Linked DNA regions of Drosophila melanogaster. The protein of the gene in region 1 purifies or fractionates together with the protein of each later gene. This does not show direct contact. Each region holds a gene or a part of one and is shown on either strand. Other genes may lie near its edges.

Region 1 (6,077 bases):
TACATAAGGCAAAATATTTTTGCCATCTCGCTACAAAATATATATCCAATTTGCACAGCACTTGGAATCCTTACCAGACGCAAACTTCCAATGGCGGCCCAGGGTTTCGTCATTTGTTGAACGCCGCGAAGCGTGGAGCGTTGCAATAATGGTAGCACCATCTCTATGCTTATTCCTTAGTCGGTAATTAATAAATAAGTTTGCAAGCAAGTGATCTTTCACGGACGAGCCCACCACAACAACACCAACAACAACAAAAAACAACAACAGCACCTCGATGCGCGGGTGAGAGCTATCGGACCATCGATTGTTCTTATCGACTTTGTAACGATTGCTGCCTAAGTTCATAAAAATTGAGAAACAAAAATCCTAAACATTTTTAAGAAACACCTAGTTACCTTAGTACTAACTGTAAATTCCTATTCCATAGCTAACAAATTTAAAATCTGTTGATAGTTCTATTTGTTTTTTTTGAAACTACAACTATCGATAGCAGACCGTTGCGGCACTGTATCCTATCGTTTGTGTGCCATCCGCAGGCGAACAGCTGTTTTTTCGGGAATCGTAACTTCAGAGGAACTTTTTTTTAGTGGAAACAAGCCTGCAATGTCGGCGTTTGTGAAAACCGTGTGCTTGGCCCAAAAGCTGTGCGCCGCCAATCCCGTCGTGGCTCGCCAGGCGATCCGCAGCAGTAAGTGTGAATCGGGGCTGCGCTGGCAACAGTGCAACCTGCCCCACTGTTTTGTTTACGTAACTTTTGCATGCACCGAATGGCTACAAATTCGAATTTCTCGCCATTTACGTTTTAGTGGCTGGCTGGAATAAGGACTACAAGCCGGGTCCGTATCCACAGACGGAGAAGGAGCGCCTGGCGGCGGCCAAGAAGTACTATCTGTTGCCGGAGGAGTACAAACCGTATGCGGACGATGGTCTGGGCTACGGAGATTATCCCAAATTGGGCTACGGTCTGGGTGTGGAGGCCAAGGACTCGTACTATCCCTGGGACTATCCGGAGCACAAGCGCAACCAACACGAGCCCGTAAGCGCCAACATCAACGGCTAGCAGCAGCTGCTGCATAAAAAAAGAGTCAAACCCTGATCCATTTCCATTGCAGATCTCGGCGGATCATGATCTGTACAGCGAGGATCGCTGGTCGCAGGCCGAACCGCCACGCTACAGCAATGCGTACTACTTTGCCTGCTTCCTGGGCGTGATGTCCGGCTGCCTGGCACTCTACTACTGGCTGGATGACAAGAAGATGTACCGCCCCGTGGCCGCCAAGCAATATCCCAGCCCTGGCGTCAAGCACTACACCTTCGAGAAGTAGGATTGTATCTATCACGCTCTCGATCGCACTGCGCGCCTCGTTTTTATTTCATAGGCAATTAATCAACGCATCTATACAATTAAAATGAATGGAAACCAAGCTAAAACATGGATTTGCTATCATTTTGACTGCGCATGTTGGGTTGCATTTTTCATTCCGTTCTTAATGAGCAGCAAAAAACGAAATGAATCTTGAGATGAACGTTTATTTCGGCGAAAACATGAATGATTTGGAACGTAACTGAACCAAGAAATCCTTAATGGATTTCAATAATGTCTCTAAACTATAAACTTACTGCCTAAATACATTGTTTGTTTGGGTGAGCAAAAAAAAGCAAGACGCGGAAACAGAAACTTAACCAGCTAGATTTAGGGCATAGTAATAAACTGTTGATCGGCTGGGATCACTCCACAACGTAGTTGGGATGCACCACCAGCAGGGGATCGTCCTCCTCCACGAAATCCTTTTGTACCTGAATTCTCGGCTTCAGCGTGGATGTCTTGAGCGGAATAATGACCTGATCGTGATAGATGAGGCGATCGATAAGCTTCTCGATGAGATTTTTGCGAGAAATTAACTCATCCTCGGATTCGATTTGGTCCGCCACCTGCTCCAGATACCAGGTGACCACATTGCTGCGCTTGATGCCCGTATCGTTGCCCTCCACCTCGCAGCGCGCCTCCTCGGCGCGCATATGCAACACCAGCATGGTGGACAGATTCTTGTAATCCTCGAACGAAAGCGTGAACTTCTTCTTCTGCACGGCGCCGCTGGCGGATGTGTCCATACCATTGTTCTCATCCACATTGGCCGCTGCTCCATTGTTCTCCATGTCGATGTCGTGCTGAATGCCATCGTCCATGTCCAGACCCTCGTCGTCATCTAAATGAATATCCGGTTGCTCCACGCGAATGATGGACTTGTTGAGCAAACGGAAGGCCTCCTTGACGTGTCGCTCCAGCACGCGATTCGAGCACTCCAGCTTGGCCATGGCCTCGCTCAGTCGAATCATGGACTCCAGCTGACGCACCGTTATCCTCCAGGTGCTCCTGCCCGACGTGCCCGTATCGCGCTGCCTCAAATGGCCATAGTTCTCGACCAGCATGTGTCCGGCCTCCTGGCTAATAACCGGCTTAAATTGCCGCGCAAATGTCACATAGCGAAGGACCTCTTCGCGCGTATATGCCCGCTCCACGGACTCCTCGATGTTCGAGTGCAGATCAACGATCTTGCGAGCAATGGCATAGTCCACCACCTCATTGCATTCGTCCACGAGAATGAAGAACAGATCGAATCGCGACATAATCGGTGCCGATAGCTGAATATTTTGTTGCAAACTCTTGGAGCGATCGTAGCGACCATTAATGGGATTGGCGGCGGCCAGAATCGAAGTGCGCGCATTGAGTGTGGCTCGTACGCCGGCGCGTGCAATCGATATGGTCTGCTGTTCCATGGCCTCGTGAATGGCCACCTGATCGCGCTGATCCATCTTATCGAACTCGTCAATGCAGCAAATGCCATTGTCGGCCAACATGAGGGCGCCCGCCTCGATGACAAAGTCAAAGGACTCCTCGTCGCGCACAACCGCAGCGGTTAAGCCCGCTGCCGAGGATGCCTTGCCCGAGGTGTAGATCGCACGCGGCGAGAAGTCGGATACCTGCTTGAGGAACTGTGACTTGGCCGTGCTGGGATCGCCAACGATGCACACATTGATGTCGCCACGAAGCGATGTCTTTTCGGTGGTGGTCTTCGCAACGCCACCGAATTGCTGCAGAAGAATGCCCCGCTTGACCTCATCGTTGCCGTAGATCGAGGGAAAGAGGCTGCTAATTAGATTCTGGTAGAGATTGCGATCCTTGGACATCTCATAGATCTTGTGCCACTCGGCATCTGTCATCTGCTTCTTCATATCCTCGGCTGTCACCTCCGACATGGGCAGATCGGTGCCGCCAAAACGTGCTGTCGTTGCCTGAACACTGCAGGCAAGGAAGGCCATCCGATAGTTGAGCTCTCGCATGCCCAGTGCCTTTAGGCCAGTGACGCCATCCATGCCCTCGCCGGGCTTGTGGCGTGAACTGTTCTCCGCCCGTGTGCCCACTCCGGCCAGGACACTCACATCGGGCACCACAATCAGAGTGCCCGTGAAATCATAGCGATCGCCAGCCTGAACGGTCTCCACCAGCTCCGAGCGCAGGATAATCTCCACCGCGCGGGGAATACAGCCACGCGGCAGCTCGGCTTGCGTCTCCTGGATGCGAATCTTTTGAAAGTCCAAGAACAGACTCTTCTCCACATCCAGCATGAAACGCTTGCGATTGGAGCACACGGGATTGCGGCAAATGGTGGGATTGGTGAACTTGAACTGCTGCTCTACGTTCCGAATTTCCGTCTGGCAATCGAGGCACATGAAGACGCCGGAAACAAGCTCCGGATGTACGGGATGGGTGCGCACCACCTGGCCGGAGATGCGGATGAGGGTGCCGATTTTGGAGGTGGTCAGATCGCGAACCTTGTGACGCGTCGGCACCTCCGTGAAGGCCACATAGCAATCCTTCTGGGTCTTCAGTCCAATCCGGTCCTTAACGTAGTTCGAAACGGATTGGCAAAGGAACGGATAGATGTGGTAGTACTCCTCGATAATGGCGGTGGCCAGATTCTGATCGTATTTCTCCACATCCTCGAAGCTGACCTCCAGGGTGCAGCGATCCGGGGATTCCAAGCTGGCGGCTGGGCGCGTGTACTTGATCTCGCCATCCTCCTTGAATTCCTCGAGGAAATCCTGAAACAACTTCTGGGCCCGAATGCCCACCTCGTCTTTTACGCGCAGCTGGCCAACCTGAGCATCTGCCACATCCATTTTGGGTCACTTCTTGCTTCAAACTGGTGAATTGCGCGCTAAATTCCGAGATTGCTTTCGTTTCTTGCGAATGTTTACAGCTGCGTGCTTTGCTCGGTTTTGGCGCCTTTTTCTGACAGTTGCTTGGGGGTGGCAACGCTCGTGCGCAGGGATGCCAGCTATTCAAGAGCAAAGGTAAACATGTCTTACGGTCACATTAATTTATTAGTTCAAATATATATAAAAATATATATTTTTTTAATTGCTGAAAGCTTACTTAAATTTCTTGCCCTTGCTAATCAACAAGTAGTTTTCGAATTTTTTGAATAGATCAAATAGTCCAAAAGTTGATTGAGATACGTTGTTTTAATAACTTAATCGGATAACTTAATAATCCAAGAGATGAATGACATGAATTATAAGAATAATTTTATACGAGTAAAGTATTAAAACATTCAACTTAAGTTGTTTATTTTATGAACTTATAGAATTTAGTACGTTTTTAAGACCGATAGTTCGCCCACTCATGTCGCGGAACGCTGTGCACCGATAGGCTTATTCCGAAATAATCGATACCACGCGAATTTCGTGAAATAATTTTATTGATTCTATTTTGGCTAATTTTTTGGCTAAACAGCAGGAGCACAGCGTTGCACGTGTGTTCACCTGTTCGCCGGCACCGTTGTGGCCATAGAAGTCGGTGTGGTACCATTGGATTCATTTGATTCACTGGGACCACCGCCCCCTTCGGAGTTTTGTCCCCACAAATTGCGAAGGAGCCCCGGAAAATGGTGGACGCCGCCAGGCAGATGCTCGACGAGCTGATGGGCAGGAATCGCAACCTGCATCCCTCGGAGGCGGGCGCCAAGGTCAATTGGGAGGATCCGGAGGTGAGTACGCTCAGGATGTGGCGCGCCAAAGAGCCACCTCCAAAATAATGGGGGTTTTTTTTTTTGTCCGCAGTTCTGTCAGTTCTACAACGTTAAGTTCTGTCCGCACGATCTATTCATAAATACGCGCGCAGATCTGGGCCCCTGTGCCCGCATCCACGACGAGGAAGCCCGACATCTCTACGAGGATGCTCGACCCTCGCAGCGGAAGCGTCAGTACGAGGATGAATTCCTGCGCTTTTGCAATGTTATGCTGCACGATGTGGATCGAAAGATCCAGAAGGGAAAACAGCGTTTGCTGCTAATGCAAAGGGATCAGCCCAATGTACCGGCGCCACTGAGCAGGCACCAGGAGCAGCTTGCGAATCTGACGGCCCGGATCAATAAGCTGCTCTCTGAGGCAGAGGAAGCCGGCATTCGGGGTGACGTGGACCAGGCCCAAGATCTAATGACCGTGTGCGAGGAGCTCAAGGAGGAGAAGGAACAGTTGGTACAGCAATACGAGGCCCATCACAAGGCCATCAGCAGCATCAGCCTGACCAAGTCAGCGGAGGACGAGCTGCAGCATCACCCGCGCAGCAGTCCGGTCACAAATCCCAGCGAAGAAAGTCCAACTACTCCTCTTCCAGCCGCCACCACGCTAGATGAAGCGCCGGATGCAGCTCCAAGTTCCGCACAAGCAGCTGTCACAACGACTGACGATGCCGGTGAAGCAGCTGGTGCAGCCAGCGAGGACAAAACGTCAGAGAAGACGGATAGCAAGGCGGCTGGCTGGTCGCATGATGCCATGCCCGAGAAACAAATGAAGGTGTGCGAAATCTGTGGCGCTTTCCTGATAGTCGGCGATGCACAGCAGCGGATCGAGGACCATTTGATGGGTAAACAGCATCTGGGCTACTCCAAACTGCGCAACGCCGTCGCCGAGATCAACGAGGCGCGACAGAAGGAGCGCGAGCAGGAGGAACGACGTCGACGTGAGGGTCGAGTGCAGCGCTTCCACTCCTACGATAGCAGACGGTAAGG
Region 2 (5,974 bases), on another chromosome or scaffold:
CCCTACTCCAATCCTCGGTGTCTGGCTGCTGTCTGGACCCCGTTTTGGAGTCAGAGAGTTGGAGGTTAACTGCGGGACAAAGGATTGCCGAAAATTATCACTGCCAAACGAAAAGGGGGTTGGGTTTTCACTCAAGTTTATACGCAGCCTAGTTTGCAGATGCAATGTCATGATATAGGAATATAGCTTTGATCCTAATTTACTACCATAGTTATACTAAGTTACTCTTGGAAGCGATTTCGAAATATAAAATAATACATTTTAAATGATTCAAGCGATATAATTCTTAACTTCCTTAGATATGCTTAAAAATGTTTCAATATCTCCGTTGAAATACATTCTTTAAACATTTTCATGGGCGTACATTTCGTGTCCTGGTAGTAAAGAAATTATGAATGTCCTAGCACGAGCGTAGTAAATATATGTAAACTTGTAGTATGTGTAGAAACTGCCAAATTCTGACTGCCTCGGGATGCTGCGCCAGCACAGCGAGGGTTCACAAAAGGAGCTGCAAAGAGGGGCATCATCGGGAGCAGGGGCAGTGAATCGGGAGGAGAGCAAGAGGAGCAGCTGCAGCATCAGCCAACGACATGCGCAATTTGTAACACAAACCCAGTCTCTGCCAGCGCCCAAAAACTTTCTGCATTCTGCAGTAAAACTGCAAACCGAAGGTGGGATCCCGCCAAAGCCCGTGAATGTATCGCCGGACCCGTATTTTCCGTACATTCTGGTGGGAGGTCAAGAAACCGTGGCTGCTTTTTAAAGCCAGGGGAAATGACTCTCTCGTTCGCGCCGCTTGTTTCTCTCTGTCTGTTGCTTATTTACCCGAAAACGTTGACAAAAAAATTAAATGGAAAAATCATCTGCTGTTTTTGGTGGGCATGGTCAAGGCAGAGCTCACTGTCTGCATCTGGATACAACCATATAGTCTGCTTGACGGTACATATGTATGCACCGTACATGGGCTGTGGCTGCCATTCTGGGAGTCTGGGATACCGGCTTCTACATTCCTCGCATCTCTATTCCGTCTCCAGACATAAAGGAATCATAAAACTGTAAAATGTTATTATTCAATTTTATGCTGGGGAATAACCATAAAGGTTCTGGAAAATTCTGGCGCACAATTGCAGCGCGACTATTCAAATAATAAGCAATTAGGAATCGAAATCATTAGAGCAGGATCAGATTTTCCGCTTTGGTTTCCAATTGCTTAGGAATAAAGGGAAGCATTAATTTTTGTAGTTAAGCCCTCTATTAAGCTCCTTATTAAATATTCATTTTGATACTTTAACTGCTTCAATATGTAACTCAACTTAAAATTATATTTAACTTAAAATTTATAATTCAATGAGCTGGAAAATCAAAGTGGATTTGTTATTTCAACTGCTTGATGTTTGATTAGCATATTAGCATATTCAGTTTTTAACAATTACCAAAGAAAATATACATTACGAATAAATACTTTACTTACCTTGCTAAAATAACCAACAATATGACATCCATCCACATCGGCCAGCGTCATAATGTAGAAAAGGAAGGGCTCCACATCGTAGTAGAGGGTTTTGTGATCCAGAAAGAATTTTGCTAGCAGGCACAGATGCTGACAGTATTGCTTATAACGTTTCCCGTCCACCTGCCACACCTGTAGTTTGCCCTTGCGGTATATCTCATCGCCCGGCGGATGCCGCCAGACGCATTTCTCGGCATGCCGCTTGATGCCCGTCTCTGATTTTTGGTAGCGCAGGCAGAATTCGCAGATATACATTTTGGGCAGGCGGGCAGCATCGTCCGGATAAGGGGATTGATACCAGACCTTCATCTTGTACTTGCCCATGCTGATATATCTGTCAGACGTAAGGGTTGTAAATTGATCTCCATAAGTTTGTTATATTACTACTACTTACTTTATTCCCTTTCCCACGGGCAGGTCCTTGAGTTCGTCTTCGATCCTTTCGGATGCTTGAGCTTGCGCTTCCCGGAACAATTGCAAATCATAGTCAGGCACCAGGCCTGCCAGATTTGGTTCCCGGTCCTCGTCCGTTACGTCTTTTTCCAGCTTTACCTGAAGCGTAATCAAATAGTTAGCAATAGTCTCATATGGACTTTCAAGCTAACCCACTATCCTCACCTTCGAGTCTAAAAAATTGTTATTCGCCGGCTTAAAGTTAGCCCTTGACTCGCGAATCTTGGCCAGAAACTCGCGCTGCTCAGGCGAGAGCGTCTTGAGATTGGTGTTTTGGTTACCCGGCGCCGTCACAATGTTAACCGGCATCTTTAGTCGCTGTTCATTCCTCAGTTTTCTCTCATTGGCACGCTCTTTGCACTCCGAGGCGGACATGTTGTGATAGATAGGACAGGCCTCCGGCAAAAAGTGCTTATCCAAATTGCCACTCAGATGTCCGGATGAATCGCAGCCCTCGATGGGACACTTCTTCTCAGTCTGGGTAATCGGTGACACGGGTCGGGATTTAATGGAGCTCAGCACGCCACTGCTGATTCCGATTGGTTCCCTTTTCACTTTGCTTTTGCTGGCGTTCAAATTCGAGGGCGCTGGCTTTTTGGCGGGACTTTTGGAGATCATAATTTTGTCATCTTCTAGGTCTCCATCGGATTCAGAATCGGTTTCCTGTTTGGGTTGCTGTTTTGTCCTTCGCATGCTGAGTGATCGCGTCAGTTTCCTCATGGGATTGGCCTTGTCTTTTCGCTCTTCTTCGCTGTCGGAGTTTTGGATTTTTGTTGGTCCGCTTCTCTTACCTATAATAATAAGAGTTAAATTTAAATATTATTAAAATCCTTACATAAATTCTATACTTTATACCCTGCCTACCTTTAGCTCCTCCTTTTACTGGCTGCGAGCTGTAGGAGTTGCTGGAATCACTTCCCTCAGACTCGCTTCCTGAACTTGATTCGTCGCCCGAGTTGGAGCCACTCTCGGAGCCCGAACTTCCGTCACTGCTGATCACCGGTCCCCCGCCGTTTTTCTTTGCCGGCGGCAATTTTCCTCGGATTTGTTTGGGCCTCACCGTGCTGGCCATTTTGAGGGGAACCTTCCGCCCGTTTTTAACGATCTTCATAGAGTCATCTGTGCTATTGGACGAGGAGGAGAGCGAGGGTCGCTTGCCCTCGCCGTTCTCCAGTGATCGATTTGTGTTGTTGTTGGCCGATCGCTGGGTAGGATTGCTCGGTTTGTTAGCGGGATTGCTTGGCTTGTTGACGGACGCGGGTGGTTTTCTCCTGGCTGCTGAGGCGGCAGCTGCCGCTGTTACAGTGGAACTGCCCATTGCACGTGAGTTCTTTTTGGCCGGCGGCGCCGAGTCCTCATATTCGTCGTCATCGCTGGAGAGTTTACTTTTGGGAGGATTGTTTACTTTTTTGCTAGATGGCGCTACGCTCGGCTTGGGTTTATCCTCCGACGCCGCAGGAACAGGCTTTCTTCTCTGTGCATTTCCGGAATTAGTTTGTTGTTGTGTTTGCGTCTGGGATTTGGCGGAGGAATTCGTGGATGGCTTCTCCTCCGGCGTCGCACTGCTGGAATCCGTGTCCGAGCTGCTGCCCGTTTCCGAACTGGTGGATCCGCTTGTGGATGAGCTGCCCGACTCCGAGCTGCTGCTGCCGGACTCCAAGGCCATTTTTGTAGCGCAGAATGTTTTTTTTAATATTTGTACACAAAAATGCCTGTTTTCCTGTATTGTTTTGATTAGAGTGGCCAGAGGTGGATGCCAAGCGGAACGCCATGGGAATCGGCCGGAGCTATCGGCTTATAATATGCTAGAGATGTGCAACTAGGGCACAAAAATATCGTATTCCAAAAATATTTTAGTTAGCAAATATTAATTGAAATACGAACCTACACAGTTTATTGCCTTGTTTAATAGGAGTTTTTAAAATTGATATAAGCCAGTTTTTGTGATTAAAGTCGAAAATTTCTTTATTCATTTGTTGCTTATAAAGAGTGCTTGTCGAGTACGATAAATTTAATAATCTTAACGAGGAATCAATCTTAATTTACGACGTGCGGGGAACCAAAACCAGAAAAACAAATAAAATAAATTCGATAACAGCAATCTCTTAAGCCTATTACTCATTTCAGCCAATTTATTTACGGCGCCATGTCGACTTTTTTGACAATTTGAAACGAAATAATTTCCTATCTGTGGCAATCACTTGTTGTCAAAAAAAATTGCCCTTAAACCCTCTCACAAAGAAAAATTATTGCTAAAAGCGTTATTAAATGTTCCCATCAATTTTTGCATCAAATGCAGTAAAGTGAATTATAGTATTTGTGGTTTTGTTGTAATATTCATTCATACATGTGTTGATACTTTAAAACTAAACATCACTGTCTGATTGGCAAATGAAATGCATAACGTCAGTGGTACAGGACAGAACGATCATAATGTTTTCGTGCCCAAAAACGTAGGCGCAGTGCTGGGTAGGATTATTGTATTTGGGTTCATTTTTGCGCCACTTGAAGTAGGTAGCTCGTTTGCCGGAGGCCAAGGATATAAACTCGCCCTGCTTGGCCAGATCGTTGACACCCAGCCAGTAGTTCGCCTTGTTCAATTGGCCCACTATGGCGTTGTATTCCTCGGCATTTTGGAATGCTGCGAGGTGGCCGCCCATTTCAATGCACCTCTGCTCGGCGGTCCTCCAGTTCACCTGTAAGTTGTGTTCGATGTAGAAATATCTCGATCCTATCTGTTGATATCTCTGCAGCACGAGTTTCCTTTCGATATCGGATAGAGTCTTCTGGATGGCTGTCAACTGGTTTTCCGTCCTCTTCTGTCCATCTTTCAACTGATTACTCAGCGCTGTCTGATTGCCTTCGATATCCTTTAGTTTTTGCTCAAGGTCCTCGGTTTTGATTGCCTTCGAAATGTTGTTCACAAGGAATGCTTGCTGGGCTTCTATTTGGATTTGTGTCGCCGTCAACTGGTCTTCGATCTTATCCAGTTTCGCGACGCTTCCATTAAGTTTCACCTCGCAGGCTCCCCAGTCCTGTTGCTCCTTCGAAAGGTGATCGATGACCGGCTGCAGTGCGGATACGCAATATTCACTGCACTGATTGGGAGGATCTGATAATAGACACACATAGCGCCTGCCCTCCTGGGCTTCTATCAGGGATCCGTAAGGATACAGCAATAGAAATGCGCACAAAATAATTCTCGTAGAGCTAAACATTTTGGACAACCACTGAGGTTGAAGCTTGATAAAGAACTGATACTGAAGTAATTGGCTCTCTTTTTAAAGGCCCGGCAATATGGTTGATAAGCATATTTGATCTTCTTATTAAAATTGTCACAAGAAATTTGATGTGGTATCATAAGTTATCATTATTTGTAAAGCGTTGTCAATATGGTATGGTAGTAAAGTAGATATGTACTTCAACTTAATGACATACTTCATTTCTGAAATCAGCGCTAAAGTCGATATCCTCCACTATTAGATCACTCAGCTAGCGGGAGTGCGTATATATAAAGAATTTAACAAATTAAATAATAAAATCAAAATATATTGGGCGTGTCCATCTTCTGAAACAAACTTGCGTTGCGTTTATAGGATCTGCACGCTCGATCTTATCTTTATAGCTTTTATGGTAACCAAAATCACAAACGGAAATGGCCAGATCAACTAATGATCCGAAATGAGAATTCCATTTACCTGTTGCATATTCATCAACGAATGAGGTATACTTTTTTTCTCTACGAGTAACGGCTGTAATGTTAGATAATCATCACTTGATTAATTAATGTCAACTTGTTTGCTCTTCCAGGAATTTCTTTTTTGTGCCCACTTTCACCGGTTTATTGAACTTAACTGCTCTGGAGGTTTCCAATTAAATTATCTGGTTAATTGTAGATTTTATCTACGCCCCTATGTTGAAATAATCGAAAGCTAGCACAGTCAGAAGAATGATATATGTAGAAATTTAAAATGATTCACATCTGCCGGAAATGATAAAGCTTTTTTATCT

What was found. The genes of interacting proteins can lie anywhere in the genome.
Region 2: the proteins of Mcm6 (region 1) and chm purify together in Drosophila melanogaster (affinity purification with western blotting; one study listed by BioGRID). This does not show direct contact.

The regions. Positions count from the first base shown.
Region 1 is NC_004354.4:6,672,614-6,678,690, reverse strand, and holds Mcm6 (minichromosome maintenance 6), read right to left. Parts: upstream 4,305-6,077; 5' UTR 4,186-4,304; coding exon 1,732-4,185; 3' UTR 1,515-1,731; downstream 1-1,514. Other genes in the region: Fum1 (fumarase 1), read right to left, coding at 75-161; ND-ASHI (NADH dehydrogenase (ubiquinone) ASHI subunit), read left to right, coding at 607-691, 810-1,039, 1,116-1,328; CG3198 (uncharacterized protein), read left to right, coding at 4,953-5,054, 5,128-6,071. UniProt on the Drosophila melanogaster protein: Acts as a component of the Mcm2-7 complex (Mcm complex) which is the putative replicative helicase essential for 'once per cell cycle' DNA replication initiation and elongation in eukaryotic cells.
Region 2 is NT_033779.5:7,410,162-7,416,135, reverse strand, and holds the start of chm (chameau), read right to left. Parts: upstream 3,720-5,974; 5' UTR 3,630-3,719; coding exon 2,828-3,629; intron 2,755-2,827; coding exon 2,129-2,754; intron 2,063-2,128; coding exon 1,905-2,062; intron 1,845-1,904; coding exon 1,472-1,844; intron 1-1,471. Other genes in the region: CG15818 (uncharacterized protein), read right to left, coding at 4,330-5,181.